4 linked regions of the Saccharomyces cerevisiae S288C genome follow. Changing the gene in region 3 together with the main gene of any one other region gives a genetic interaction. Each region holds a gene or a part of one and is shown on either strand. Other genes may lie near its edges. The genes, in order: SRC1, ARX1, POM152 and ASM4.

Region 1 (8,417 bases), 320 kb from region 3:
AATGCTAAAGAAATACGCTCTAAAATGAGTGAATTGTCGACATCCTTTGCCTTTATTGACCCCCGGTTAGTCTGTTCGGGGGAGCAGATGTATTCTGCAATTTACAAGACCTTAATAGAAGTGAAATATAACAAGATGAGAACAAGAAATTTGAATTCCGAGTGCGTACTATGTCTTTCACCCACTTCCAATATTAGTGATGCTTTCCTCAAATTCGGAATCAAAGACGATTCGTCACAGTTAATATGCCTTAAGTTCCATACTAATACTGACGATGTAGACAAAGAGCAATTGAGGACGATTATGACTTCTATAGTAAAAGGACAAGAGATCGAGTTTAATGATGACAATTTATCGAGATTTTATGACGAAGCGCTCATAAGAAAAGTATGTTTTAATAATAAATTCGAGGTAAAAACTTCAACAGCCTCACCAGAAACACATTGTACTAACTTCACCTTTGTTTTCCTTTTATTTTGTTTTTACCTATTAGATCTATAAATTAAGTGATGATTTCAAGCCCCAAGACGTAAATGGTCTCTCAAGAGCTTTGGTAGACGCTATTCAATTGAGGGGTGTGTAGATAAGAGATATCTAACGATAAAATTATAAAAAAAATTCTTTGATTATTTTTCAGATTAGTATTATTTGTTCTCCGTGAAGTCAGTGTATCGAACTGCCAAAAGTTCTCCTTATATACATGTGCGCGTATAACCATCACTTTTCTTCAATGGTTCTCTTGAAATTGGCAAAATGATTAACTAATTCCAGTTCAGTTGATAATGTATCGTATCTGTAGTTAATTCTAATATCAGGAACATTTGTTCTAACCACATCGTTACCTTCAACACCACTCTTGTCAAAATCTTTCCCTATCCAATGTTTTTTGATTTGTGCTTCCCACCCACTTTGCAACACGGAATTTCTTGCCAATTCACACATATCTACATTAGACAATTTATAAATTTGTGCTGCAACTGAGTATTCTTCGATTAATGGTTCTCTGGTATATGAGAATTGTAAAGGATCATCTGTGGATAGTGAGACATTCAAACCTCTTTTAAAGTATCTCGGAAATGGGTTTTTATCATAGGTCAAAAATAATGCGTTATTAGAAAGGGGTGACATTGCGATACCAACCTGATCTAAATAGTATAAGTATTGAACAAATGGAACTTTCCTCAATAAAATACCATGTGATATACCATGTGCCAATAGATATGCTGAAACGAGATGCTCGGGGTCACCGGCTTCACCACAATGTGGTCTCAAAACCAAAGTGTTAAACCCTCTCTTAGCCCTCCATTGATTCAAAGACGCGACATTTGAATACAAATAGTACAGGTAATAGGAATAAGGAGGGTTTTGAGGAGCCTCCCAGAGTGATGGCTTGGGATATTTCCTATGAAAGCGGCGATCAACCTTGGATTCATCATCGACAGAATCAAACCCAATTACTCTCTGTAAAAATACATGCAATTTTGGATGAGACTGAGGATTTTTGGTCACTTCAAATAGTGGCTGAAACAGATTCTTACAGATGTCCTGGAAGCTTTGAACAATGCCAGTTTTCTTGTAAATATCATATAACCTCGGAATTTGGACTAACCAACGAACATTATGGGAAATAACTTTGTTGTCAATCACCCAGCTAGCTAGTTTATCCCATTCATCGAGAGACCTGCCATAAACAGAAATTCTATACTCACAGTTTTGGTATTTTGAATTCTCTAAATCGAATATGACTTGTTTGGTAATGTCAGCCAAGTAGGTACCCTTGATGTAGTTGTTTGTCTTCAAAAAAATTTCTCTGAGACGAGATTCACCGATAGGGTTATATTTTAAGTTGAATTTATCGAATCTGTGGAATGTATCCTTATGTGCATGCATATCTAAAGTATCGATGGATAAATCATATCCAGTCAAATGCAAAGAACGGAATACTTCGTCTAAAGTTAGTAGTTTCCCGTCCCTGAAAATAACCTTTTCATCTTTGGAATGTCTCAATTTGTGTTTAATGAAACGTAATAAGTGCTTTTGGTTCATACAAGCAGAATGGTGAACGTGAGTGTCCACTTTCCTAACATTATAAAAATCCCTGTGTGGGTTTCTTTTGGAAACGCTAGTTTCTTGATATTCGTTCAAGAGATAGTAAAGATTCCAGCGTGCTTCTAGGTATTGCAGCCTTCTATAAGCAAATGATTTAGCGGGACCGTCTGATGAGATGGAAATCATTTTTTCTAGATCCAGATAGTAGTCACGAAGGGTAGGGATTTGAGCAATTAACTCATCCGTCTTACCTGATCTGTGTACCACGTACGAGTCGTCATCGTTGAGGGTAAATTCCCAATCTGGATCCTCACCAGGAATTTCACATTTCGTAAAATCGAAAACTTCCGCATCCGGCTTGTTTGTTACTGGCACAACAGTCTTAGTGTCTGAGTTGTATGAAGGTTTAGGTGGTGGTGGATAGACTACCCAGCCTGGCTTATTTTTTGGGTTTTGATCATCGTTTTGCACAGATATGGTCTGATATTTGGCTCTCAAATTTCTACACTCTGCCACTTTGGAATACAAGTCAATCAACTCGGAAGAGGGATCATCAAGAAACTGCTGTGAAGCATCATCAGCCAACATTCCCATTTTATAGGAGGCAGAGGTACGTACCTGCTTATTCACTACCGGAGCGCCGGCAAATGACTTGAGCGTCTCTGGCAAGATATGCTGAGCACTAGCAGACAAGGTCCTCGGTTTACCCCCGGAATTTTGAGATGCATGGTCTGCCGAGTCATGGCCCTTATTCATCGCTGCTATGTTGGAAGAGCTACAATTGGTAGAATGCGATGGTTGCTCCAAGATGGCAGAGTGAGAATCATGCTCATCTAGGGCCAACTGTTTGGTGCCATTTTCCAACAACTGCTGATTCTCGTGATACGAGAAATTAGCATTCCGAGAATCAGCAGCTAAACTTTCGTGTGAATCTTGCTGCTCTAAGGGGGGTGTCTCATCATCCACTACGACACCAGCTTGTTCATCACCAATCTTTCTTTGATCTATGTCAATGACTAGTCCTGAACCATCTTGTTCATCGTGTGAAGGAGCTGGTTCTAGAGAAAGGTCGTTAAGCCTCTGTGTAGCCTGATTGTCCATAATTTTTTTTAGAATGCCCCCTTTTTATTTGTTATATAATTTATTAATCTGGCGTACTAGCAGTTCAATCGAGTTTTGCTGAATCAAAATTGGCTATAGCAGGGAGACTATAATAAAAATACTATTAATATCCGATAATTGACTAGTATACGAGAAACGCTGCTAATTCTGCCTGTAGAGAGAGAGAAGAAAAGTCGTCAAGAGATGCCTTTTTTTTTTTTTTAAAATTTATCTATTTTTTGATAATATCCTTTAAACCTTGTGCTACTAGAACTCCTTTCTCATCATCGCCAGGCGCAAAAAAAAGATGAAAAAGGAATGAAAAAAGAAAAGAGAAGACCCCCACGTGCCCTAAAAATAAAGTTAGGGCATCTATAAAATAACTAGGATATATATATTGATCACCCTGAACGGAAATCAAGGGTTTTAAAGAGCCCTCAAAATTACTGTTTTAGGAAGCCCCCTTTGTTTTTGTTTTGGTTTCAATTTGTGGTGGCTAATCTGGACATCGATCTACTTGTATAGCTGTCAATATACTATGCGGAATACATGGAAGAGAAATAGTCCTCAGTCATTATTAATAGTAGACTGAGACCATACGGAGTGAACGTAGAGGCCAGAACAACAAACAGTAGAACGGTAGCAGTACTCAGTTAGTGCCGCGATGAATAGTGACTTGGAGTATTTAGAGGACGGTTTTGATCCGAATTCAATGAAAGTTGCGACTTTGAGGAGGATATTGGTAGAAAATAATGTCGATTTCCCATCTAATGCTAGGAAAAATGCGCTGGTGGGGCTGTTCGATGAAAAGGTTAAACCGCAGATCCCGCAGTTACGGAAAATGTATCTGAACGTTCGGCCCAGCGATGAAGGTATTGTGAAAATGGACCGTCCCTCATCTTCCCCATCTATAGCTTCCCCTCGTAGAAGTAGACGAGCTCGCAGGGAGAAATCTGCTTCCCCCATGGCCAAACAGTTTAAGAAGAATAGAATACTGGATGATGTAAGTAATGATGATGATGATGATGATGATGATGATGATGACAATGATAAAAAAGACGATCCTTTAATTGTACCTAGTGGAACGGATACCGATGAAGTGGACGATGAAGAGGATGATGTGATAACATCAAGCTCCAACAAATCAGACACCAATGATTTCCAGCAAAATTCCGATACTCGTAAGAAAAGGAAAGACCCTGATTCTGACGACTGGTCTGAATCTAATTCAAAGGAAAATAAAATCGATAATAAGCATTTGAACCTCCTATCATCAGATTCAGAAATTGAACAGGATTACCAGAAGGCAAAAAAGCGTAAGACGAGTGATTTGAACCAAGAGCATGGAAATGGCTCTGCCATTTTAGGAAAACTTTCCGTCAAAACACCAATAAAGAACACAAATAGAAAGCCAGTAAGCATGGATAATTTTAACGATTCGTTGACTTCAAGCGGTACGGAAAATGATCCATTTGTACCGAACATACGACACAATCCAAAAGAGCTCGGAACTGCCAATGGAACAGGCCATAGCACACCCTTGAGTAAGTTAAAAGTTTCTGCCTCATTTGCGGATAAATTGCCTCAAAAGGAGGTACCATCTACAATACTGGTTCCAGAAGTGGAACAGCAAGAACCTTCTCAGAGTGAAAGAACACCGTCTTTGTTTTCGTCCGAAGGCTCTGGCTCAGAGTCGGAAGCACCCTTGCTTCCAGAGATCACCACGCCAGGTCCTCATCAGCCTATGGGTAATACCAGCAATAATGTGGTCGAAATGATAGATACAGATAGTAGTAACTTGGTATCGGATGAAGATGAAGTTTTAGTGCCTACAAGGATCGAGACTCCCCAATTACCCACAGAGAAAGACGTCGAAAAGTGTGAAGCAAGAGTGCAAGAACTTCAAGAGGAAGTAAATGAGCAATTAGAGCATGAAAATGGGAGTGAATTTGATGTTAAGCAAGGATCTGGGAAGGTCGGGAACAGGCATAAGTTCAAAAGAGCACTCAAATTTTTGAGCAAATCATTACTGGCGCTATTTTTATTTTGCATATTCATTGTTATTCCTCTCTTATTTGGCCTCTGGTATAGAGAGCAAAGACTGCTCATAGGTTACTGTGGGCATGAAGTACCATCCCATCGAGTTAGTGGCAATTCCTTCGAGTTTATTCAAAAACTGGATAATTTGTTGCAGGACTACAGACCGAAATGTATCCCTTGTCCACCCAATGGTATTTGTTATCCTTATTTGAAACTTAAATGTAAGCCAGATTACAAGTTAGCACCATCTAGACTTGACTTTTTGGAAATTATTCCTGCACAAGGCAAATGTGTTAAAGACGACAAAAAACAGCAGTTAGTTTCCGAAGTGGTTGAAAAATCTTTAGAGTTTCTGAGAGCCAAAAATGCACAAATTTCATGCGGTGACGGAAAAGACGACATCGAGAGTGGTATGACGGAAGATGCCCTCTATCAAATATTTAATGAGGCTAGAGCTCCTTGGATTCGCGACGATGAATTTGAGGACCTGTGGATCCAAGTTATCAAAGATTTAACTGAAGAACCAGAAATATTATGGAGGCAAGTGAGTACAATTTATTATCTTACAAAAATTATTAAACCTGTTATTATATGATAACAGTTTTAATTTTTTTTGAATTTTTTTTTGTTTTTGATTTATTTACTAACATCTTTTCCTAATTTTCTCTAGTTATCACCCACTGACAACAACATTGGCGGAAATTCCAACAACATCATTAAAACCAATGACGTTCCGAGACAGAAGAGACATCTTCCAGAAAAATTCATCTCCAAGACGAGGAATTTTCGGTCGACGTCCAAGAAATACATTGGAATGAAGTGTCGATTTGAAAGAGAAATCTACCAAACGTATAAAAAATTTCAAAGGCCAATATGGCTAATGTTTTTACTGATAGTCATTAGTAAAGTAATCGAGATCAAGCTGAAGAATTATTATAGAAAGAAGGCAAGAATTGAAGAACTCGTTACTCAAACCATGGAAAAATTGAAATTCCAAAAGATTAAATCAATGTCCGATCCGAAAGAAAACGCGTATTTGAGCATAGTTCAATTGCGTGACATCTTTCTTTCTGATATTGTCGATCTGAAATACAAAAATCAATTATGGTCAGAAGTGGTAAAATATTTAGAGCATAATAACAGTAATATTAAATCGAACTTAACTGAAATTCGAGGTGAAATAATGAAATGTTGGGAATGGATAGGTCCGATGGAACTCAATGAACCTAAGGATTCCGCTGAAAACAAAATATAACCCACAAAATGAAACTCAAACGTAGTTTTCTCTTCTCAAACTTAATGATCTATTGTTTTTCCGAGTTGCCATATTTGTATAGTTTATTCTATTTATACGGTTATCCTAATATCTGTTATATAATTCTTTATGTAATACTTTTGTAAAGTTATAATGAATCTAATCCTGAAAATGACTTGTAAAATAATAAGAATTTTTTATTCGATTTAAAGTAAATATTAATACGACACATGGAGGAAAGAAAAACTAGACGATATAGGAAGAAATACAAATAAAATCAGAATTGAAAGAGTAACTAGAGGATTTTGGAGTAATAAATAATGATGCAAATTTTTTATTTGTTTCGGCCAGGAAGCGTTTCAAGTAGGCTTGCGTGCATGCAGGGGATTGATCTTTGGTCTTCCAACTTCTCTTCGTGTCGATCTTTGTTGCGGAACGGCTGGCACTGCACCATTTCCATTAGGATGTACTACCTTAGAAGGCGGCGCAAACCGTGGAGCAGCTGCAGGCGGAAAAGCTGTAGCGTTCGTTTTAATTGGTGTGGTTTCACGCGGTACTTGATTCCCAGCCCCTTCTAGCATATGAGGCCCCAGTTCTTTATCATTGTTCTTCATGCTCAATTGTTTTCCCTTTGGTGCAAATTTTTCATAGACAGAATCCCTCGCGGTGGTCATCGTTTTGTCTTTTAGCACACTCGCTGGAATATGCTTGGACGTAGTCTGATCAACGGTGTGCCTAATGGATTGTGCCTGGTATTTGGGATCAAAAATGCTCTCTTCACCAATATAACGTTCATTTTGTACGGAAGTTGCAGCCTTAGCTGTAACAAAGGTGATTTGTTCTGCCTCTGGGTTTGAGCTAGCAGTTGGGCTTTGCTTAGCTACAACGGGATCCTTCTCTGTCGTTAAAACATTACTGTTTGTGTTGCCCATATTTATCAAGTCGTCGTCTTGAAAATCATCGCTAAACATAAGAGAATCATCGAGAAGGTCATCTTGATCCTGTTTGGAAGCATCGAGAGATTTGAGATCAGTATCTTTATTACTGCTGTTTTTACTGTTAGCCTCAGCAGGTGCGGCCATCATTGGGGTACCTCGACTTACTGTATTTTCTATTTTCACCAGGTTCTTCGTCGAGTCGGGATTGGTATTTGTAACTTTAGTCAATTGCCTTCTTTTATTCGGGTATTGTTGTTGTTCTTGATTTTCATGCAAAGTATTCGTTCTTGAGCTTTCGCTGATTTCATCCGTTGGCCTAAACAAATTGTTTTCGTCAAAATCTGGCGGATCGAACTTCACCTTATCGATCTTTGCCAGAAAATCTTTATCGTAAAGACAATTTCCTAGAGCATTACCAAACCCTCTCAAAGATCTTTTCAAGGCATCCGTAACGGCAGATTTCTTGGCCCTTTCGAAAGCGGCAGGTTTCCGTCTTTCGTTCTCCACGGTACCATACCCAATATCTTCCCTATAAGTCCCGCTAGTCAACGTAACACGAACAATTGCAGTACACCCTATGCTAAACTTTCCCTGTCGCTCATCCAAAAAATCGATAACTACACTTTTTACCTCCGTAGACCAGCCATTATATCCAAAGATTTGATTAGCAAGATTAATTACTCTCCAACCTTCGATGTATGCAATCCTGCTTGTTCCAAACCCAACTCTCTTGGAGATATACTCAGGTCCTAATTTCTTGTCCAATTTGGTCTGTATGTCCTCGGAATGGTTACCGAAAACGGGCTTCTTCTCATCCATATCCATAATTTCATTCATCAACAACACACCAAAGCCACCAGAACCTTCAGCAGTTCTTGGCAACCTCCTTGTTTGCATTTGTTGATTCTCAGTGGCAAAATAGCTTAAAAACGCCATTCGATACCGGTCGCGTAACCCGCCCGCCGCTATATTTTTCGTCTTTTCTTAACAGACTAAAGAATATAATAACATCGAGAATCACTAACGGGAAGAGC
Region 2 (7,419 bases), on a different chromosome or scaffold from region 3:
GGACAATAAACAAAGTCAAATAACCACAAGGGATCACAAACGAAAGGATGTCAGTTATTCCTCCAAAATTCTTCAAGATTGCAAATATATCAATTGGCTGCATAGACATTATTGCTGCCCTTTCACAATTGACGTATATTTTCACCAATTTAAACGTCTTCCTCTTGGCAGTTTACGGACTGGCACTCTCCGTACCTATCGTCTATCTGGAGTTCAAGGTTCCGTCAAATCTTTACAGGTATGCTTCCTTTTACTTTAGTTTTCTTGGAAGGGGTTTATCTTATATTTTACTAAGTCTGATAATCAGCTTCGGCGGTATCTACAACATATTGGCGGGAATGTTTACTTTTATTTTAGGGGTTGCCTTTATTGTTTTTCATTTTTCCCAGTTTGTGGAAGAACCTGCTAACTTCAGAGCACCCGGCTCATCTTTGTCAATTGGTGATGATGACATCGACGATGACGATGACATGATTTAATATTAGAAGCCCATGTCTCTCAATCCGCCGGTGTTACAAAAGCATGGCGAAACAGGCGTGAGATATTTAATCTTCCATCTCATCTGTATAGCAAATAAAATGTAATTATAATGCAAGATTCTGAGCAAATGAACCAAGCGGTTTTAGTACAGCTAGGTTGACTTTTTTTATAATATTCTATTTTACATTTTATGATATACTTATATTATTTATATACTAGCTTTAGAAATGATGAAGTTTCCTACATTTTCATGGTTTCTTCAACTCCGCCATTTGATGTCTCAACACTCTTCTGCTTCATTGGCTGCGTTTCCTTTAATAATAGACCGAACCTCTTATCCTTGGCCAAAGTAGCTAATTGAAAGATCCCTTGAACAATTGAATCTTGTGGATTTAATTCGTGCTGAGAGTGAATCCAGCTCGGTTGACAGGTCTTAGAACCACCAGTTAATCTCAATAATTCGGGTCTGTCCGTTGTACTTACACTAGAGTCACATAATACGATGGTATTACATTCACGAGCAACTGGTAAAGAAATCGATTCCTTGGTTGAATTCATTAAGGATTTAAGCTTGATGGCTGAAACACCCAATTTTGGTAAAGGTAACTCATGCCCAGGTAATGTTAATGTAGAGGTTGCATCATAACTTAAATTACCGTTTGGATTGGTAGCCTTTAAAATATGGTCCCATGGAACCCATCTAGCAATTTGTATTGGACTTTCCACACATAAGTAGTTGTTGGAAATCTCACTCATCCCAAGTCTAAATGATTTCAAATCTTTCTTTAAGCTTTGGAGTTCTTCTTCATTTTCGTGAACGAAAGGAAAGTTAGAAGATAAATGAGATAACTTGAATGGATAAACGCCTTGTTTATCGATTTTAGTTAATAATTGTCTAGAAGTTTTTAATTTAAGAATATGGGTTTGAGCAAAATCTCTAACATATGCACCGGGTCTTGCAATCAATTCTCCAGCCTTATGAGATTTACCTGTGTAAGAGTCAACGGTTTCTAAAGTTACTAAACCCTTTTTGGTACAATGCTCCAAAGATGCCATTTTCAAATCAATTAAATACACTTCACCTGATTGAACAACGAAATCATCACTTGGAATAGCAGAAACATTAGTGAATGGAGTCGATTGTCCACGATCTACCACTGTTAAATCCTTGGCATCAGTATTAGATAGCAAATCTGCTTCTTGATGGGACTCTGTCCAAACAACACCCTTATATTCCCTTTCGGCAACAATACCTTCGTTTTGGCCTGCCAGGAATCTTCTAATCCTTCTTACACGAGAACCAGGAACAACGCCACAGTTATAAGATCTGGCAATAGTATCCACTATAGTTCTAATCAATTGGCCTGTGATACCACTTGAAGTTCCTCCCAGTGAGGCAGGAAGCTTTTCTGGAGTCAGAGCACAGGCTAATAAAGCAACAACTGTTTCCATAGCAATGTGAGCAGCAGCTACAGCATCCGCTTTACCACCTAGTAGTGGCCCAGTGGGTTGAAGAATAGGTTTGGTTTCATCAACGGGGTAAATAACCATAGTATGAGAAACTTCAGAGGTGTAACCATCAATATGAACACCTAGTGTAATCTTGACTAAATCCCCCGGTCTCAAAGTCCCAGTGACAGATGATGCAAAAGTGGAGTCTTTCCCCTTATTCCAGTTTAACAAATTTTGAGTATCATCTATTTCGGGGCACCATCCACCAGAAATTTGGTCGATATCAATAGTGGTTGGAATGGCAATACCTCTTTCATTAACTTTGTTTTTATAATATTGTTCCAACCGGGTCAAAATAAAAGAATCGGTAAGCAAACATAGCTCTGGCACGGTTAATTGGCGCTGTGTGGTCTTAGAGTGATATGAATCATTGATCAAAGAAGTAACATATTTCAAAGCAGTTTGTGCGATTTGTCCAGCAGTTCTGTATTTGTTCAAGACCGATTCCTGTAGAATATTTTTGTCCTTTAGCAAAATCTGAGTATCCTCGTGGGAGATAGCTAGAGCCATGATAGTTTTAGCAATATTAGTCGGGTCGGGTTTTTTCTTAAAAGTATTTTGAATAACACGATGCTTTAGCTCATCTCATCTCTTCTGCTGAAATTTTTCTTTACTTCGGTAAAATTTTTTCAGAAAGCAAAAAAAGCTTCACAGAGGCATGACCCTCTCCGGGTAAAAAAAAGCTTAGGGTTACCGGCCTGTCATTTTTAGGGCATTATCAATTTTTTGCCATCTAGTTGCAACTATAATAATACAGTATGAATTGCACGAAAGAGCAGTCAATGTAAATTCACGAAGTGACTGACAGAATACTGACATCAGCTGATTTCTCATAGAGCTGTTTCTCTGATAACACGTTGTTTGAACATCGACAAGATGAAAATCTAGAAGTATCAAGTTTCCTTTAAAGGGATATATAACAGATTCTAAAACTGACAGAAATATTTCGAGTGAAGAAGAAGCGTTAAATATTGGATCTTTCCGCAGTTCTACTCTGATACATTTTTGAAGTAGGAGAGTCATTTAGAAGGCGTATTGCTCAATAGTAGAAAGCAGGCCTGTGCACATGAATTAATTAAAAAATATAAAGGTAGTGATTAGACGACACATGTCCATAGGTAACCTGTCATAATTTTGAACAATTTCCCTTCTTTTCTTTTTTTTTTTTGGGTGCGGCGATATGTAGCTTGTTAATTTACACATCATGTACTTTTCTGCATCAAAATATGAAAGGCGATAGTAGCTAAAGAAAATACCGAGAATTTCCTCGAAAAGTTGACGACAAAAGAAAGGCATAAAAAAGTAATTTGAAAATATTTTAAAACTGTTTTAACCCATCTAGCATCCGCGCTAAAAAAGGAAGATACAGGATACAGCGGAAACAACTTTTAAATGATGGAAACTCCTACAGACAATATAGTTTCCCCTTTTCACAATTTTGGTAGCTCGACACAATATAGTGGTACCTTGTCGAGAACTCCCAACCAAATAATAGAGCTAGAGAAGCCCAGTACTCTATCCCCATTGTCAAGAGGAAAAAAATGGACGGAAAAGTTAGCCAGGTTCCAAAGAAGTAGTGCTAAAAAGAAAAGATTCTCACCTTCTCCTATTTCCTCCTCTACATTTTCGTTCTCACCCAAATCTAGGGTCACTTCTTCAAACTCTTCTGGCAATGAAGACGGTAACCTAATGAATACACCTTCTACGGTTTCCACTGATTATTTGCCACAACACCCTCACAGAACATCGTCTTTGCCAAGACCTAATTCCAATCTCTTTCACGCAAGTAATAGTAACCTATCCCGAGCAAATGAGCCCCCAAGGGCCGAAAATTTATCAGATAATATACCACCCAAGGTCGCTCCATTTGGCTATCCAATACAAAGAACCTCTATTAAAAAATCCTTTTTGAATGCTTCTTGTACGTTATGTGACGAGCCTATTTCTAACAGAAGAAAGGGAGAGAAAATTATAGAGCTTGCATGTGGCCACTTAAGTCACCAAGAATGTCTTATTATCTCTTTTGGCACCACTTCAAAGGCAGACGTTCGTGCGCTATTTCCTTTTTGTACCAAATGTAAAAAAGATACTAACAAAGCCGTTCAATGCATTCCAGAAAATGATGAACTAAAGGATATTCTAATTTCTGATTTTTTGATTCATAAGATTCCTGATTCTGAGTTATCAATCACACCTCAGTCCCGCTTTCCTCCTTATTCACCACTCTTGCCTCCTTTTGGGTTATCCTATACACCTGTTGAAAGACAAACGATATATTCTCAAGCTCCAAGTCTAAACCCAAATCTCATATTGGCTGCACCCCCCAAGGAAAGAAACCAAATTCCACAAAAAAAATCAAACTATACATTTTTACATTCACCCCTGGGGCACAGAAGAATTCCGTCCGGAGCAAACTCTATCTTAGCAGACACCTCTGTAGCGTTGTCAGCTAATGATTCTATTTCTGCTGTTTCCAATTCGGTAAGAGCAAAGGATGACGAAACCAAAACAACGTTGCCGCTGTTAAGGTCATATTTTATTCAAATTCTTTTGAACAATTTCCAGGAAGAATTGCAGGATTGGAGAATAGACGGGGACTATGGATTACTAAGGTTGGTAGACAAATTGATGATTTCCAAAGATGGTCAGAGATATATACAATGCTGGTGTTTCTTATTTGAAGACGCATTTGTAATAGCAGAAGTGGATAACGATGTTGATGTTTTGGAAATTAGACTAAAGAATTTAGAAGTATTTACACCTATTGCCAACTTGAGAATGACTACACTCGAAGCTTCAGTACTCAAATGCACCTTAAATAAACAACATTGCGCCGATTTATCAGATCTTTACATTGTTCAGAATATAAATTCTGACGAAAGCACAACTGTACAGAAATGGATATCAGGTATATTGAATCAGGATTTTGTATTCAATGAGGACAATATCACTTCGACCCTGCCTATTCTTCCCATTATAAAGAACTTTTCAAAAGATGTTGGTAATGGTAGGCACGAGACGAGTACCTTTCTAGGTTTAATCAATCCTAACAAAGTTGTTGAAGTTGGAAATGTGCACGATAATGATACTGTAATCATAAGGAGGGGATTCACCTTAAATTCAGGAGAATGTTCTAGGCAGAGTACTGTCGACAGTATACAATCTGTTCTAACCACGATAAGCTCAATTCTTTCCCTTAAACGAGAAAAACCTGATAATTTGGCAATAATCTTACAGATCGATTTTACGAAATTGAAGGAAGAAGACAGTTTAATTGTTGTTTATAACAGTCTAAAAGCTTTAACCATTAAATTTGCGCGTTTGCAGTTTTGTTTCGTTGATCGAAATAATTATGTTCTGGACTATGGATCGGTATTACACAAGATAGATTCACTAGATTCCATCTCAAATCTCAAATCAAAGAGTTCCTCGACACAATTTTCACCTATTTGGTTGAAAAATACTCTATATCCCGAAAATATTCATGAACATTTGGGTATTGTTGCTGTATCAAATAGTAATATGGAAGCAAAAAAATCCATACTATTTCAAGATTACAGATGCTTTACAAGTTTTGGAAGAAGAAGGCCCAATGAATTGAAGATTAAGGTGGGCTATTTGAACGTTGACTACAGTGATAAAATTGATGAACTAGTCGAGGCCAGCTCCTGGACTTTTGTTTTAGAAACTCTTTGCTACAGTTTCGGTCTAAGTTTTGATGAACATGATGACGATGACGAAGAGGATAATGATGATTCGACCGATAATGAACTTGATAATAGTTCAGGATCACTGTCGGATGCTGAATCTACAACTACTATTCATATTGATTCTCCATTTGATAATGAAAATGCTACCGCAAATATGGTGAATGACAGAAACCTTCTCACTGAGGGTGAACATAGCAATATAGAAAACTTAGAAACTGTCGCTTCTTCAGTACAGCCAGCTCTGATTCCTAATATTAGATTTTCACTTCATTCTGAGGAGGAAGGTACTAATGAAAATGAAAATGAAAATGATATGCCAGTATTATTACTTAGTGATATGGATAAAGGAATCGATGGCATAACCAGACGCAGTTCATTCTCGAGTCTTATAGAGAGCGGTAATAACAACTGTCCCCTCCATATGGATTATATATAGAGTATACACTAAATTTTATGCAATAATAAAAAGAAAGCATCCCGCCAAACGTTTCGTAACTACATATTGTTACATAGTTTGATTCCGTGAATTTGAAGTGGACGCAGTTCTTCTTAGTCTTTCAAGTTCATAGTAAATAGACATTACCCAAAGATCTCTTTCCTGTCTTGATCTTGCCATGAAAACCATTGACTTGCCGCTCACACCTAACTTTTTAGTGAAATGGATCTTATCTGTGTTACTTGGAACATTAGAGTTATTCAAGTCAGCTTCCGGAGCAGAAGGTGGGTCAATATTATTATCTTGTCTACCATAATCTTGCGTATATTGCTTTTCATTCCCTTTCTTCTGTAAGCGATTGCTAGAAAGGGCACGCCTTGTTCCAAACCAAAGCGTAAAGCATCGCGAACTCTCGTCTTCTACAGATCGCCATCCGTCCCCATAAACTCGTGGGAGAGCGTGGGATCCATAGTTTATTTCGTCAAAAGTACGATCTCTCTGCAGAAGGTCTAGTTCTGTTGTGGTCCCAGAGTATAGGTAGCAATCGTCAATCGGAATGGTTACATAATGAGCATACTCCAAAACTTCCTTAGCAAAACCTGTGGTTGATCTATGAAAGCAGTGGAACAGTACAATAAAACCTGATATCAAAACGACGTAGTACTTCGAGAAAACAGAATGCTTGTGCGGCTTTTGATATAAAGGTCCCTTTTGAATTAACGGCCTACTTAATGATATTCCATTTGCATTAAAGGTTTGCTCATCTGCACGCCCATGTTCTACGATCCAGCGCAATGTATTCTCACCAATTTTTGTTTCCTCTTCTCCATTTAGCATCAAAAGACCTGCATTTGAACGCCTTATTTTTAAAAGCCTCTCCGTATCTTCCCTTTGCTTGTTTTTCCAATAGGATATCATTTGTTTCAGCTTTATGACCCACTCTTCAGCAACTGTTGCTGATGTAGCAAGCAGCTTCAAGAGGAGTCCATTTGAGGTTTCTATATTTATTACGGACCGTGAAACATCATCAATCTCGTAGTTTCTATGCCAAAAGATTTCACTAGCTTCCTTGTAAACCCCATATTTTATTTTGTCTGCTTCGTAATCAGTCCTTGTTCCTTGATATATATCTTTCACCTCAGTTAGGTCAATCACATTGTCCGTTTTTAGTATTTGATCAATCCTTCTATGAAAACAATGGAAAGCATAGAAATCTCTGGAATCATATTCACTTTGGGTCGTTTGACAGTTCATCCACTCGATGTGATCATTTGTGTCTAA
Region 3 (9,673 bases):
TGACCACGGCTACTCAATCTTCCAGGAAAAAGGAGAATGAACTAATGGTTCTAGCACTTTCTAATTTAGCGAAAACACTTTTGAAAGACGATAATGAAGGTGAAGATGATGAAGAGGATGATGAAGATGATGTGGATCCAGTCATTGAGAATGAAAATATACCATTGAGAGATACAACCAATAGATTAAAGGTTTCTCCTTTTGCCATTTCTAATCAAGAGGTGTTAACCGCTACAATGAGCGAAAATGGTGATGTTTATATATACAATCTAGCTCCACAAAGCAAAGCTTTTTCCACACCAGGTTATCAGATTCCGAAGTCTGCTAAGCGTCCTATTCACACTGTAAAAAATCATGGGAATGTTGAAGGCTACGGGTTGGATTGGTCACCATTGATCAAGACTGGTGCGTTACTATCAGGTGATTGCTCAGGACAAATATATTTTACCCAAAGGCACACATCGAGATGGGTGACTGATAAACAACCATTTACTGTTTCAAACAATAAATCCATAGAAGATATCCAGTGGTCTCGCACTGAATCCACCGTTTTTGCAACCGCAGGATGTGATGGATATATAAGGATTTGGGACACAAGATCAAAAAAACATAAACCTGCTATCTCTGTTAAAGCTTCTAATACTGACGTAAATGTCATAAGTTGGAGTGATAAAATTGGTTACTTGCTAGCAAGCGGTGACGATAACGGTACATGGGGAGTATGGGATTTAAGACAGTTTACGCCAAGTAATGCTGACGCCGTCCAACCGGTTGCTCAATATGACTTCCATAAGGGAGCCATTACTTCCATTGCATTCAACCCATTAGATGAGTCTATCGTTGCGGTAGGCTCAGAAGATAATACTGTGACTTTGTGGGATTTGTCTGTAGAAGCTGACGATGAGGAAATTAAACAACAGGCCGCCGAAACAAAAGAGCTACAAGAAATTCCACCACAATTATTGTTTGTTCACTGGCAAAAGGAAGTTAAAGATGTCAAATGGCATAAGCAAATCCCAGGTTGTTTAGTAAGTACCGGTACTGACGGTTTGAACGTCTGGAAAACAATCAGTGTCTAAACTGTATAATACTTGGATCATATATTTACACATAGTAGATTATTAATAAACAAACCCATTCAAAGATATAGTAAATATTACTGGCGGATATGAATAATATCTATCATACATATTTGTTACTGTAACGTTAGGCGCTCAGGGAAAGAGTTCCTCTAAAACCTCAAGATTCGAAACAACGTACTTTCTTTCACTCAACTGTAACGTGTCAGTTTGCTTAGTATTGGCTTCCCAAGTGTTTATTGAATTATTATCTATTTTATCAATTGACAGCTTGTATTCGTCCCGCATTGGTTTACTAATCGAGTTTGAAAGAAACCCGTATTTATCATTTCTATCTAACAGTATACCAGTCCAACCGGCAGCTTCTGCCCCTTCGAGATCGTTCTTTAATTCATCTCCGATGTGAAAGCAATGCTGTAGAATTTCCTCCCTGGTGTACTTTTCGAGTAAATGAGGTTGTTTAGATATAATATCGTCAAGCGCATATTGAAATATTGCTCTATCAGGTTTGGCGAGATTAAGCTCATATGATAAATAAATGTGACCGGAAAATGTCTCAAATAATCCGATATTCTTTAATAATTTGTAAAAAATTGGATCAGTATTGCTTACTATTCCTAAGATAACATCAGGATGTCTTGACTTCAAATCCTTTAAAAATTTGATCAAATCTGGATAAACAAAATACGAATCGAAGCCCTCAAACCGCATTAATATTTCATTTATCATCTCATCGGGAATTTCGTTTGGTGCGAAGACGTTCCTAATCAAGATGGACCACCATTGTTCGGGCTTGATACCAGAATATTTTCCGTATTGGGGATAGTCTTCCTTCAGTTTTTTAAAAACGTGTGGAAAATTGTTTGTTAAAGTCGAAGGATTCGCCTTGATACCATATTTACGCCCAACAATGCAGTATTGTTCCATGACGGGAAGTTTTGTGGCGTATAGTGTATTATATGCGTCGAAAGTAATAATTAGTGGCCTTGCCACCCTATGAACTTCAGACCACGCATTTATAGGTATTCTTTTCGGATAGGTCATTGAGCCAATTTCTGTGGATGTTCAAAAGTCTGCTTTTAACACACCTCTATAGACCGTAAAGGACAAAGGTCTCAGCGCTCTCTTTTTCTATTCATTCACCTACACTCTTTCGAGTTACTATGAGCGAAGATAATTGAATCGAGCGTCTTGATAATTTTGAAGAAAAAGAACAACAAACAATACAGGCGTCTTTTTCGCTTTCTTAAGTATTTTAATACTGATGTACAGAGATATATTATACATTACAATTGTACAAAAATATTGCGGGAAAGAAAAATTTCATCAGACTTTCTTGTAATATTTAGTTATTGAAAAAAAGATCATTTTTGGCAAAACAATAAGCATCTGTAATTTCAATCGCCTCGTAGGTACCTTGCAAGCTTGTAATTACCTTGTATTCATGAGAATATATATCAGTGACTTTATGCGTCTCAACAACCTGCGACCTCCTTTTGCCGTGTTTTCCATCAGTCTCTTCTGTCCTTACATAAGTTAGTGAGAATGGTGGGGTACCTTCAAACGAAAAGATTACTTCAGCCTGGTCACCTTCGCGGATATCCTCAGTAACGTAATTTCCTTGAGAAACAGTTACGGAAGGAATAGGATGTATGTTTAAAGATAAGTCATCAAATTCACTCTTTAATTTAGGGTTCGTAAAGTCGACAATGCATTGTGATGATGAATCCTGTAAAGAAGTGATAGATATAATGCCCGGTTCAGATGCTAATCTAACAAATTGGGAGCTGCGTTCCTTAGATTTTAGTGGAATACCGTTGAATTCATACTTAATCATGAAAGGTGCCACACCGTTTAATTGATATGCAACATAGTCCCCAACACAATACTCGGTAGAAGGATCTAATATATGTATCTTTGGTGCATCAGTAATTGACACAAGAATTTGATTACGCGGTCCAGATATGAGGCTGTTAACACAACCATTTGCGTCAACAACAGAATCAATAGTAATGGCATGGTTACCTAACTTCATCCCTTCATATAACTTTTCAAATGAAAAGTTCTCTGAGTCAATGTTGTCAATGGTATACTGATCTGTCCTACTGGTACTCTCGTGATAAACGCTAAAGGTGATTGAAAATGGGCTTTCGCCTTGTAAAAATTTCAAATTTATTGGTTCCAAAAATGAGATTTGATCTACATTAGCAGCACATGCACGCAAGGTTTTACCACCATCAGCAAAGGCGACGTCTGGAATGGGGTGCACTGTCTGTTTGATTATGAGCTCCGACTGATGTTCTCTAAAATGTATGTCGCTTTCACCATAATTGCCATCGAAGATGGCCTTAATAGTAGTTATGTACTCTCCAGGAATTTGATTAGGCAGTTTCAGTGAAGCGTATTTGGTTGCCACCTGAATTTTTTTTGTAGAAATATGACCGTTGGGTGCCATCAAATCATATTCTAATATGAATGGTGGAGAACCAAATAGAGCCAAATCAACCGTACCTTCCATCCCTTGACAGACTTCTTCTTTAGAGAATAAATTTTCCGTTACTTTTGTAATGTGATGATTGTCTTGAATTGCAAATTTTGGCTTCTCCAAGAAAGATACCTTATACAGACTGTTCCGGTAAATCACATTACCTTGGCAACTTGAGTCACGAATATCGACCAATTGGTAAAGCCCTTCTTTACTTACTTTCAAAGCGGGCTTATAACTATTCTGAAATTTGTTTTCAAATTCTTTCACAATGTTTCCATCGTAATCCATGTGTTTAAACTTAACGGTGAATGGCCCCTCTCCACTTAATTTGAGCGGAATTTCAGTGACAGAACCGTGCTTAATTTTAGCTTCTTTGATAGGTTCAAAAAAATTGAATGCAGCAGATGGAATATCTCTCCTCACCTGTATTTTAGCATCTGGTTGGCTGAGTCCAACTACACAGCCGGTAGAATCCTTGATAGAAACCAAAGATAGAATATAATCACCACCAGTAGTAAAGACTGGTGTTTTAATGACATATTCGTTGGTTTTTATTTCTTTAATTTCAAAAGTTTTCCTCTTGCTAGAAAAAGTTTCAATGATATCATATGTTAACGTAAAAGGGCCTTGGCCTTTTAGTGCTACTGGGACACTGCTGTGGTCACCCAAACAGAGTTTCAAATCATGGTGTAATTTTAGTGATGCGCTTGGTTTCACCCTCATTGATGTCTTGAAAGTATATTCTTTTACAGGTTCCAATTTGATTGGTTCAGTGAATAATTTATTAGAAACAGTATCAAACACGATTTCATAGTTACCTTCTTTAGGTGGACTATAGCTGAAGCGATTTCTCGTACCTTCAGAGGTGTATCTCTTTGCATCATATAACTTTCTTTCACCGTTTTCAAGCTTATAGATTTTAGTGTTATAATAGTATGGTGGAGCCCCAGTAAAAGATAGTTCAAAGTTTAGACCAACCTGTCCCACACACTGGTCCAATATTGGAAATGATTTAACTTCCATAGTAGGTGCAACTGGCATAGTTACAAGAACGTTTGATTTACCCACAATTTCACCTGGACAAAACTTAGATTCAATATATTCTAAGTTATATGACCCCGGAAGATCCGCTTGCAACACTTTGGTCAAAGAATCTGTAGTAACATTCATTATCTTTTTCGACTTGTCTTGTGCATCAGTATAGGATAGGCTAATAACATATGGAATGTCTGAAATCCAGTTTTTGATTTCTTCAAACACGATGGCAATAGACCTTTTTGTGGGTGACTTTGGATCAAATCTTTCTTCTAGCGCTGCACGTGGAACCTCATGAACATTGAAATTATAAGATAGATCATAGCGCTTTTTTAATTCTTCAGGGAGAGATGTAAAATCCACGACATTTCCCAGACCATCAGTTATTTTATCAATTTTATATGCAAATTTGCCGTCCTGGGTAATGGAAGAGTCTAAATTAATATTAACAGGTTGGTTTCTTCCCCATTTCAAATCGTTTAGTTCTCCTTGAGTAAAACTTTGTTTGGATTTGCTTGACTGCAAAGGAGACTCAAAATATTCTGGTTGCAAGCTGGAGTCTACATATGAAAAAGTTTGACCATTAACGATCTTAGAGTATGCTAATTTCATTGGGGGCACACCTTGAATTTCAAAAGAAACATTATCTGAATCGCCAATACATCTATCATTGCTTCCAGTTCCAGTAATAGATGCAATTGGACAGTAGGGTACAACCAAGTGTGACTGATGGATCTTTAAATTCAGTTTTTTTGAATCAACAATTTTTTTGATTTGATAAAAGCCAATATCTTGAAGAGTTACAGCCAAATAACGAATTGTACTGCCTTCTTCAAAATCGTTTGAATGTGACTTTAGAACTGACTGATCTTTTTTTAAAAAGGATTTGGGGTTATCGATGATTTTGAAGTCTTTCTTACTCAAAGACCGTAACTCTACCGAATTTGTGTAAAGATCTCTATATTCCAACTCGATATATTCAATCTCTTCAGTTGAGTTTATTCTGATGGGTACGTCAATTGAGTTAATTTTAAAAAGATTGGTATCCATGGGCAAACAATATGATTCATGAAGAGGATTAAACATAGCTGTGTTTTCAGGTAGGATCTTGATTGTTAGAGCACCCTTAAAATGAGCGGAAGAATCAAAAATACGATGATGGTTAATGGCTGAACCTGTTACACTTAATTCTTTCGTATAAAGTTTTCTCCATGTGGTCATAATTAATGAAATCAAAACGAACTCGTGATCGCTTGATATGAAAATGTTCAATAGTAGCATAGCTAAAATCTGGAGATAAACAACCCATGGCTTAAAAGTCAACCTAGGAATGTTAAAGGATGGTAAAACATACAGGAAGAAGGAATCTATAATGAAATACTTGGATATGAAATTAAATCGATAGTTCTTAAACAGTAAACCCGAAAGCGGTAACCCCGATTTAAGTATTACCAGGTCATATATTTTATAACATTGAATTATTAAAAACAATATCACCGCAAATGTCCTTTGTTTGGAAATTTCTAAAACATCGGTTGATATTAGAGGCAGTGAATAAATGTCTACCTTTTTATCACCATTAATGTAGCGGTCTTTGCTGTCACGTTCAGATATCCTTGATTTTTCATCGCTTATGTTACTTTCAGTACTTTTAAAGCTCCTCGAGCGTAAAGGTCGGATTTTCTCAGCGGGCTCATCGTCACTATATTGGAAGCGTCGTGTTGTGTTTACATTAGGACGACTGCTATAAGATGGACGTGGTGATCCTGACACAGAACTGCCCATCCAATGGTTCCCTCGTGGAGTATCATTAAACACGTTATATCTGTGCTCCATTATACAAGCCTCCTGATAAACGTATCTGGTATGATAAATCTATAATCCGTTTTGAATTGGTTCGATGAGTTTCCTCTTATTATGTCTTAAGCAATTCTTACTTTTGTTCAATAAAAAAAACGTATAAAGTTATTGACTACGTATATAATGACATAAAATACATAGTGCTATAGAACATAATGTTTTGAATTATGAAGGAAGTTAACATTAAGTGGTTGCAATTATTTGATGCCCTAGATAGGAATAATGTATTCTTCCTATATGTTCTTATATAATGAAACTCTATTTCTATAATACCAGCGCATTATTTTTTTTCTTTCTCTTCACCTGTGATGGTCTGGAAGCCCTTTCTGGTGATAAACTTAATGACTGTCCACTGGCCTTTTTGCTTCTTCTGATGCACTGCTATAGGATTTAAATCCCAACCAATCTTGAGATCGTTGTCAACTGTGGATCCAAATCTAGGAACCACATAACAATACCGTTCCGTAGGTGATAAATTAACGGTCTTCAAGCCTTGACCAGTCAGAGGTTTACTGTATGTCAAAAGAAGTCCCTTTCTTGCTATGTTCGCTAAGGGGGTGCTTGCGATGTCACATAAAGTATTCATCCTTGTTTTATTATTTCCACCAAGGTGCAAGGAATAATAGAGCATGTATTTGGGTGGCATTTCCCCCAAATTATTTAAAATTGAAGTCGGATGGATATAGACAAAGCAGTCCTCGATATTTGGTGTTCTCGTGGCCAAAACAGGAATATAAGGAATGTTGATTATGGAAGTTCTGTTGGTTATCTTAGCATCATCTGGAAATAAAACATCTGCTCTTACGGCAACATGGTCGACAAAACCAGCGCAAATCATTTGTTTTAAAAGTTTTATTTGTATGACGCTTGGAATATCACTTTTCAAGTCTTCATTCCTAATTACTACGGCAATATTTTCTTTTGAAGTGTTGGACTTGATGATATACATTAACTGCTTCCTCAATTTTACTATTTCTTCCATTAGTTTGCCTCTTAAAAAATTTTTCTTCATGAATATTTCTTTTTGTTCCTTTGGAACGTAGTCCATTGCACTTACAACACTTAATAAACGGAATACGTCACTAAATTTGTCTAATTTACTAAACTGACTCCTGCTTTTATAGAATTTACTGCGCAATTCCTTTTTCAGTTCAGGATCCATACCTGGTGTTGATTCATCGTGCTCTCTAATCTTATCATCTAGATTTTCATCTGGATTTGGTTTTCTAGAAATTTCGTTTATTCCCAACTCAAATTCATTGATAAAAGGATCTCCCACCGAAAGGGCACTAACAATTGCTACAATATAAGGAAGGCAGGCTTTTTCGTCAGAAACAAGTAACATTTTGGAAAATCTGGGTGAAAGTGGGAACAGGCTCATTTTTTTACCATCTTCAGTAATCATCTCCTTATTATCAAGAGCACCTAAATATTGCAGTAATTGTATTGCCTTGGAAAGGGCAACTCTATCTGGAGGAGTTGGAAATGGAAAATTAATGATATTATGAATGGCCATGCTCTTCATTTGTAACACGATGCTCTCCACTGGCATTCTTAAGATTTCAGGTTTAGAGAACTGTTCGAAATCATGTTCAAAAACAGCAGACGAATATAAACGGTAACAATGGCCTGGTCCAGTACGACCTGCTCTACCGCTTCTTTGATTGGCACTAGCTTTACTTACCCAGCCCACTTCAAAACTCTGTACGCCATTTGATTCATTATATTTACGCTCTTTAGACCTCCCGGAATCAACAACATATCTAACTCCAGGTATAGTTAACGATGTTTCTGCAACATTTGTTGCAACAATACAAAGCCTAGAACCTTGAGGAGGTTTTTGAAAGACTCTCATTTGTTCCTTGGTTGGTAATAGAGAATACAGTGGAAGGACATATAAAGGATCGTTAGCTGTTTGCCCTTCAGTTAGGACTTCTTCAAACCCTTCTTCCTCTTCGTCTTCCTCATCTTCACCGTTTCCACTGTTACCTTCATCTTCTTCGTATCTTATCGCGCTCTTGAACTTATCTTGATCGATAACTTGTACACTGAAGTCTATATCCTCAGCCTCCAAATCTGTTGTTTTTGAATTGATACCCATTTTAGAAACGGGTGTTTCTAAATCTTTGTTGTACTTGGAGTTTTTCTTAAAAGGAAATTCCTTTCTTAGCCTTTTTACCATGTGTGTAATTTCCTGCTGACCGGTTAAAAACACCAATATAGCGCCAGGAGGAAGTTTCTGGTGAATTTTGCAAGTCTTTCTGAAAGCCTCGTCTGTATAGTTGAATGCAGTTCTACGATTAAAGTGAATAGAGACTGGAAACTGCCTTGCATCAACCTGTAAGACAGGGGGCGCTATGGGGAACAATGTTTTGTTTTCGCTGAAATCTGATACCCTTAATGTAGCTGACATGATGATGAGTTTTAGCTTCTTGTGCTCGATCGGGTTCTCCTTATGTAGTTTAGCTCTTAACCGAACACAACGGCTAAGCATACCGATCAAAATATCAGTGTTAATGTTTCTTTCATGTGCTTCATCTATGATAATGGAGGAATATTTAGTCAACTTGAAATCGTGCATCATTTCTCGTAGCAAGACACCATCTGTCATAAACTTGACCTTTGTGTCCTCCTTTGCGGTAGAGTCAAACCTAATTTGGTATCCTACTTTATGACCATGGTCCCCCAATTCATTAGCTACACGTTCAGCCATGGACACAGCGGCCACTCTTCTTGGTTGAGTGATACCCACCATTCCTGGGTAATCTGGAGAATCTTCGGCACCAAACCCAGCCTCATATAAAAATTGTGGGACTTGTGTAGTCTTACCTGACCCCGTTTCACCACAAATAATCACTACATCATTATGGTGAATAGCCTCCATAATTTTGTGTTCTTCACCAAATACTGGTAGTTGAATTCTTGCTTTCTGAATTTCATCTGATCTGCTAACTTCAACATAGAAGGCTTTACGGGTGGAATTCTCGTTTATTGGAACATAAGCTTCTTGGAGACCATCATCTAAATCTTCCTTTCTAATTATCGGTTTATAATCGATGTTCAAAGTGGGAGTAACTAGCTCTTGATCTCTACCTTCCAATTTTTTTATTTCTTGATTGGCCCAATCCTTGAATTCGTTAGCAACATCATTTTGGTCAAATTTTTCTGAGCCAGTTTCACTATCTGCGCTTTCAACTTCTTCGAGTGGGTT
Region 4 (7,371 bases), on a different chromosome or scaffold from region 3:
ACACCACGGTCACGTTATACAAAGACGTGTCTAATTTCTTCAAAAGAGATATGGCGCCCCAGCCTGTACCCAAAATAACCAGCTCCTTCTTTTTCAAACCATTAGCAAAAGCGGTCGATTGGGGAACCTGTTTGGGTGGGTTCGATTCTTTGTACAGCTCGTATGACACATACAATGTGCCGGCCAACGTCGTGTAAAAGGTTAACTTTAAACCTCTGACAAACCATTTCTTGAATACCGCAGTGTAAGATTTCGATAGCTTCTGCTGTGGTCCGGGCTTACCAACTTCAGTGGAATGGAAAAAAGGTTTAGAGATCTGGGTCATCTTGAAACGGTGTATGGACCTAGCAGTCCTCGCAAAACCAAGTCTGGGCAGCATCTATACGAATGGCAAGTACGGTGGTTGTTTTTGTCTTTCTACTATGTTCCTGGTACAATCCCCGCAAGATGGGTTTACCTACTGGCACTGATATACCTCTTATATACGCAGGTCAACAGCGCACTCCAAAGGGAGGGGCTGACTTATTAGGGGAGGCCTGTAGGCTGTAGAGAAACCCTTTAAAAAATGAAAAAAAAAAATGGGGAAACAAGTGTCAGAGATGATCTGCTACTGTGACGCATCGATATTAGTATATCTATCGGCACTAAGGAACGCATGACAGGTGTACGCAATACCGCACTCTGGGGAATGACTAAAATAGAGACATTTTCGGCGTTTATGCGTATTATAAACGGTACGAGCGGTTGAATTTACCCGGCCATCCGGGCTCTATTATTTCACTCAAGATCACTTCTTTTGTCTTGCCATGGCAACGTTTCCATATTTTATACAGTATTGCTGAAGCATTTCTAGCAATACCAACAAGATCAATACTACACAGAGCAACAAATTACGTCGCAAGACGATACATCTTTAACAATGGCTAGAGGTAATCAAAGAGACTTGGCAAGACAAAAAAACTTGAAAAAACAAAAGGACATGGCTAAGAACCAGAAAAAGAGTGGTGATCCTAAGAAAAGAATGGAGTCAGACGCCGAAATCTTGAGACAAAAGCAGGCCGCCGCAGATGCTAGAAGAGAGGCTGAAAAGCTTGAGAAGTTAAAAGCCGAAAAGACGAGAAGATAAGCAGACACTTTATACCTGTCCTTTTATTGGAATGAATAGTGCCAGTAGTTTCTTACGTATAAAGTACTTTATAAACAGCTGTTATGTTTTTTGTCCTTTTTAGTTACCTTTTTTTTATTTTTTTTTTATTTTTTTTTTTTCTTTAGTTAATTAGAACGCTTTCCTATATTGTGCTTCTTTTTCTTTTTCTTATTGTTATTTAGTATATAGCGTGTACAGAGTGAAGATCTTAACAAACGTGCTCCAAAGGTGTATTGTCATCGACAAATTCACCCAAATCGATTCTCAATTTTCTGTTGAACTGCTCGAACAAGAAGCCGAGACAACTTTGAGTGATAGCGGAGTCGAACCTGCCCTTGCTGAACTCGTCACGGATGAACGCATGCTGGGCAGCCAGGATTTCCAAGAACGTAAACTTTACTCCGTGGTCTCTGAGGGTCTTTCTGATTAGATCGCGGCCTTGCGGGTCGACATGGGTGTCCGCAGTTCCGAAGATCAAAACCATTTCTTGGTTATTACCCAACTCCTTCGAAACACGTTCCAAAGAGTTATCGTTCTGGCCAAGACCTAAGGTTCTGGAATGGATGTCGGTAGGGAAGAAGCAGGTTGCGCAGGTAACCCTTTTGTCCAGGAGCGCTCTAAAAGCCAAATGGCCACCTAAACACATTCCTGTGGAACCAATTCTCTTACCATCGAATTGGGGTAACTGGAAAAGTAGATCGCAACACAGTTTGTTGTCCTCATCGTATGATTCTAACGGCTTCTTGATCTTGTACTCGTTACCAATATCGGTACCCTGCACGTCATAGGGCAACGCTTCAGGGCCCATAAAGTTGTGGTATATGGCAGGTGCCACCACAACGTAACCTTCAGACGCAATTCTTTGACCAAAACGACGAACCGGACCCGTCACTTGGTAAATTTCACTGTACAGAATCACCCCAGGAAACTTAGCTTGTGGATAGCCTGCAATCTTAGGAGAATATACGTATATACGCAGAGTGGTGCCGTATGATGTCTGCACATCATGAAAGGTCTCAGTAATCAACATTGTTTGCTTTATCTACTACCACGAGTTTATTACGGCGTCATTTTCAGTCTGACCCTTCTTTTATATAGTTTCTCCTAGTGAGGTTTTTCCGATAAAATTTCTTCCTGATCTTCACAAAGCATCCAGCAAAGTAGGAAAAAAGCTGAAAACCCGACGAAGGGTACTTGTTGAAAGCCATTGAGGTATTGATGGTTGGTGGTAGTATGCTATCTGAAGATAGGCCACATGATTTAGGTAAAGGAGCTGGCCATCGCTAACTGACTAGTCGTATTCTTCCACATCATGGCAACTTCCTTAATGTATTACCCGAATAACCGCCGAAGCCTCAGGCATTAGAGAAGAAAGAAAAGAACAAAAAGTTATACTACAAAAGGCTCTACACTCCCAGCAGAAAGCTGCCAACTACCGTCAGAATGTCAACTATGTCAACGCCTGCCGCAGAACAACGCAAACTCGTCGAACAGCTGATGGGCAGGGACTTCAGTTTCCGCCACAACAGGTATTCGCATCAAAAAAGAGACCTCGGACTACACGATCCCAAGATCTGCAAGTCATACCTTGTTGGCGAGTGCCCCTACGACCTGTTTCAGGGCACCAAGCAGAGCCTGGGAAAATGCCCGCAGATGCATCTTACCAAGCATAAAATTCAGTACGAGAGAGAGGTCAAGCAGGGCAAAACGTTTCCCGAATTCGAAAGAGAATATCTGGCCATTCTATCTCGGTTTGTTAATGAGTGTAATGGCCAGATATCCGTAGCACTACAAAATCTAAAACACACCGCTGAGGAACGAATGAAGATTCAGCAGGTTACCGAAGAACTAGATGTCTTGGACGTGCGGATAGGCCTAATGGGACAAGAGATTGATTCTTTAATTCGTGCAGATGAAGTCAGTATGGGTATGCTACAGTCAGTCAAATTACAAGAACTGATTAGTAAAAGGAAAGAAGTTGCAAAACGTGTACGAAACATTACAGAAAACGTGGGCCAGAGCGCCCAGCAAAAGTTACAGGTTTGCGAGGTGTGTGGGGCATACCTATCGCGTTTAGATACAGACAGAAGGCTTGCTGACCACTTCTTGGGGAAGATTCATCTGGGATATGTCAAGATGAGAGAGGATTATGATCGGCTAATGAAGAATAACCGGACAACTAACGCCAGCAAGACAGCTACTACACTACCCGGAAGACGCTTTGTGTAGGGCCATACATAAAAAAATGATGCTAGAAAAATTTTGTTCGAAGGAGAGTACTTATGAAAGAAGAAAGGTTTGTGAATATCACACACATACCTCTGCATAGTTTATTTCCCGATAAGGTAGACATATCGTTTCCCTATCTATTTAAGTTTTTTATTCGCTCTCTTTTTTTTTTTTTCTCTGTAACCTGAAAACAAGGAACGGCAAATTAAAATGTTTGGAATACGTTCAGGCAATAATAACGGTGGATTTACTAACCTCACGTCGCAAGCACCACAGACAACCCAGATGTTTCAATCGCAATCACAGTTGCAGCCACAACCGCAACCGCAACCACAACAACAGCAGCAACACTTGCAATTCAATGGATCATCCGATGCAAGTTCTTTACGATTTGGAAACTCACTTTCCAATACTGTAAACGCCAATAACTATAGTAGTAATATCGGTAACAATAGCATCAACAACAACAACATTAAAAACGGCACAAATAACATAAGCCAACATGGCCAAGGGAATAATCCTAGCTGGGTGAATAATCCTAAAAAGAGATTCACTCCTCATACGGTGATAAGAAGGAAGACAACAAAGCAAAATTCTTCTTCTGACATCAACCAGAATGATGATTCATCTTCTATGAACGCTACTATGAGAAATTTCAGTAAGCAAAATCAAGATTCCAAGCATAATGAAAGAAATAAGTCTGCGGCAAATAATGACATCAATTCTCTGTTGTCAAATTTTAACGATATTCCACCCTCCGTTACTTTACAGGATTGGCAACGCGAGGATGAATTCGGTTCTATTCCATCATTAACAACTCAGTTTGTTACCGACAAATACACGGCGAAGAAAACAAATAGGTCAGCTTATGATTCCAAAAATACTCCAAATGTTTTTGATAAAGACTCTTATGTTAGAATAGCAAACATTGAACAGAACCATTTAGATAATAATTACAACACCGCCGAAACAAACAATAAAGTCCATGAAACATCTTCCAAGTCTTCTAGTTTGAGCGCAATTATCGTATTTGGCTATCCTGAATCAATTTCCAATGAATTGATTGAACACTTCTCCCATTTCGGTCATATTATGGAAGACTTTCAAGTATTGCGATTGGGTCGCGGGATTAACCCCAACACCTTCAGAATATTCCATAATCATGATACAGGCTGTGATGAAAACGATTCTACTGTTAATAAATCTATTACTTTAAAAGGCAGAAATAATGAGTCGAATAACAAAAAATATCCAATATTTACTGGTGAAAGTTGGGTCAAACTCACTTATAATTCTCCATCTTCTGCTTTGAGAGCACTGCAGGAAAATGGAACCATATTTCGCGGTTCTTTGATTGGTTGCATCCCATATTCAAAAAATGCGGTGGAGCAATTAGCTGGCTGCAAAATTGATAATGTCGACGACATTGGAGAATTCAACGTTTCTATGTATCAAAATTCCTCCACATCGTCGACATCTAATACACCATCCCCACCAAACGTAATAATAACTGATGGCACTCTTCTGAGGGAAGACGATAATACTCCTGCCGGTCATGCTGGTAATCCAACAAATATTTCAAGTCCAATAGTAGCAAATTCTCCGAATAAGCGGCTGGATGTAATAGATGGCAAATTGCCATTCATGCAAAATGCAGGACCGAATTCGAATATTCCTAATCTGTTGCGAAACCTAGAATCGAAAATGCGTCAGCAAGAAGCGAAATACAGAAATAATGAACCTGCTGGTTTTACGCACAAACTGAGTAATTGGTTATTTGGTTGGAATGACCTATAACAGAAATCGTCCAGCTAATTATTCATGAACATTTACAATACTTCATACATTTATTATTTTGATAACTTTTCAAACAGCATTGTTTTACTTTTGTTTATTGATTTTTACGTAACTGTATATACTTAGACATAATTAAGAAACGTTATCTTTTGTGATAGTTCTTCTTTTTCTTTGGAGAGCGAAGAATGGAATTAATATCATTCTTATTCAATACATTGAACTCTGAGCCTTCAAACCTTTTCTGTCGTGCGCTTAAAGGCGTTTTTCTCAATGGGCTCAGGGATTTCGATGGTCTATTTTGGTCTTGATTCGGCAGGTAAGCTCCGCCCTTCTCTAAATTTTCATTTGACGATGATTGAGCCAAATTGTTATCCAAAACTTTATCCCTATAATATGGGGACATTCTAGGAGAATAATGAAAACCAATGGGATGACTTTGATGGTCAGATACTTGAGAAATGCCTCCATAATCCTTTATTCTGGTTTCACGGGATCCTGGCACACTTTCTGTCATTTTCGGTAATGCCTCAAATTCCCTTTTTTCATAATTATAAACCTCTCTGATTTCTTCGCCACATAGGGAGTGAGTGGTGAATATTCTCGGTGTTTTAGATCTAGTACCCATTGCAGATGATAGAGTATCTATATTGCTGCATTGGTTAATTCGTGCCATTATATGCTTGTCCTCATATTCTTGCAAAGCTGCACTTGATAAAATCAAGTCGTCGTCCACGCTTCTTTGAAATCTCTTAGTTATGATATAATCCAGAATATATTGATGGAATACTATAGCAATTGCTGAAGTAAACGAAACATCAGAAAAGCTTAAAAAAACAATTGCCGTTGGTGAAAAAGACACAAAAAGATTAATCATGAAGTTAGTGGGGATCCATTTTCTTAACTGAAAAAATATCTCATCTTCATTTTGATTAACATGAGGACCGTCATCACGAGATCCTCTGAAAAAATGCTTCAACATAGACCACAAGGACTGCTTATAAATATCTTCATAGTATTCTTTGCTTAGATCCTTCAAGTTGTGTTTAGTGAGGTTTGGGGAGTTGAACTCTTTTTTCAAATGGAAGAGATTGTAAGTCTTAAAGTATCCAAACATGAATTTACAGCTTACGTACAGGTTCAGGGACAGCAGTATGAAAATAGTAAACCTGAAAAGATTATTCAAAAACCTTAAGGTAACAAAATACCAAGATTGAAATGCATAAAATTGATTATTGTTTTGAAAGCTGGATGATATCTCCCATAGATAATCAAACTCTTTTAATTTATTGGATTTAGAAAGATCGAAAGCGCCAGACTTGACGTTTAGTTTGTAATAGTTGGGCTTGATCAAATTGTCCTGCAAGAGTCTTATGATAAAAAAAAGTATTGTTAAAAAATTCCCTAATGGCTTAGCTAGACTTTTAGCATAAGCATCCCAGTTGATCATTTCTAACTTTTCATTTATTACCAACTGCAAGTCTAAAGGAGAAGTAAGTAGCTGATACCACCTCTTCATCCATGCAGATTTTGATTCTCTTTCCTCACCAACTACTTCCGAGTCGTCATATGCTTCATTTATCAAATCATTTGAACCCATTTTACTGCCGAAGGTAAATGTAAAGCTCTCTACTGCACAACAAAGTTTTTTAGGTTGTTCGTTTCACTAACTTCTAAATATTGTCAATCAAACCAGACTTTAAGGAAACTACCACTTGTCCCAACGGCCTCACCCCTTTTAATACGGTGTTAACTTCTTCCTTTATATATTGCAGGGCTATTTTTCCCTCCTTTCGCTATTGAAAGAGATCACTATTCCCGTGCTCTGTTCTGATTAAGTAGGAGGACAAAAACACTTGTAACTTAATCCACCTATTCTTATTATTTCTGGCTAACGTTAGAGGTCTTGAAGCGAAACTGTTTAACATTGTAACTTATTAATCTTTTCGTATAAGCTGTTGCCTGATTAGGAAAGCTTGAAACTGAAACACGCGAAAGTGGCTAGGATAAACCAAGCAAGGGTCCATATCATCGCCGTTCTTATGCAGAAACAACTGCAGTGCTTGTAAAGCTATAGGCAATCAAAGCGTATGCGACAGAGAGTAGGAAGGTCCATAGCTAGGGCTAAATTTATAAATACTGCCTTATTAGGAAGAAAGAGACCAGTTATGGAAAGAGTCGTCGATATAGCGCATGTAGAT

What was found.
Region 1: mutations in POM152 (region 3) and SRC1 together harm fitness more than expected from each alone (negative genetic interaction), as found in Saccharomyces cerevisiae (6 studies listed by BioGRID, with this or other methods).
Region 2: mutations in POM152 (region 3) and ARX1 together harm fitness more than expected from each alone (negative genetic interaction), as found in Saccharomyces cerevisiae (6 studies listed by BioGRID, with this or other methods).
Region 4: mutations in POM152 (region 3) and ASM4 together harm fitness more than expected from each alone (negative genetic interaction), as found in Saccharomyces cerevisiae (6 studies listed by BioGRID, with this or other methods).

What each region holds. Positions count from the first base shown.
Region 1 is NC_001145.3:205,711-214,127, forward strand, and holds SRC1 (Src1p), read left to right. Parts: upstream 1-3,814; coding exon 3,815-5,734; intron 5,735-5,860; coding exon 5,861-6,445; downstream 6,446-8,417. Other genes in the region: CGI121 (Cgi121p), read left to right, coding at 1-387, 494-583; AMD1 (AMP deaminase), read right to left, coding at 718-3,150; recombinase RAD52, read right to left, coding at 6,805-8,220. UniProt on the Saccharomyces cerevisiae protein: Plays a role in sister chromatid separation.
Region 2 is NC_001136.10:654,966-662,384, forward strand, and holds ARX1 (putative hydrolase), read right to left. Parts: upstream 2,503-7,419; coding exon 721-2,502; downstream 1-720. Other genes in the region: TVP15 (Tvp15p), read left to right, coding at 48-479; YDR102C (uncharacterized protein), read right to left, coding at 2,683-3,015; STE5 (Ste5p), read left to right, coding at 3,385-6,138; SPO71 (Spo71p), read right to left, coding at 6,208-7,419. UniProt on the Saccharomyces cerevisiae protein: Probable metalloprotease involved in proper assembly of pre-ribosomal particles during the biogenesis of the 60S ribosomal subunit. Accompanies the pre-60S particles to the cytoplasm.
Region 3 is NC_001145.3:524,569-534,241, reverse strand, and holds POM152 (Pom152p), read right to left. Parts: upstream 6,439-9,673; coding exon 2,425-6,438; downstream 1-2,424. Other genes in the region: ribosome biosynthesis protein RRB1, read left to right, coding at 1-1,079; DPI35 (Dpi35p), read right to left, coding at 1,215-2,123; ATP-dependent RNA helicase ECM16, read right to left, coding at 6,743-9,673. UniProt on the Saccharomyces cerevisiae protein: Functions as a component of the nuclear pore complex (NPC).
Region 4 is NC_001136.10:296,219-303,589, reverse strand, and holds ASM4 (FG-nucleoporin ASM4), read left to right. Parts: upstream 1-3,586; coding exon 3,587-5,173; downstream 5,174-7,371. Other genes in the region: NADH-ubiquinone reductase (H(+)-translocating) NDE2, read right to left, coding at 1-379; YDL085C-A (uncharacterized protein), read left to right, coding at 920-1,126; YDL086W (carboxymethylenebutenolidase), read right to left, coding at 1,356-2,177; LUC7 (Luc7p), read left to right, coding at 2,591-3,376; NUR1 (Nur1p), read right to left, coding at 5,316-6,770; RAM1 (protein farnesyltransferase), read left to right, coding at 7,261-7,371. UniProt on the Saccharomyces cerevisiae protein: Functions as a component of the nuclear pore complex (NPC).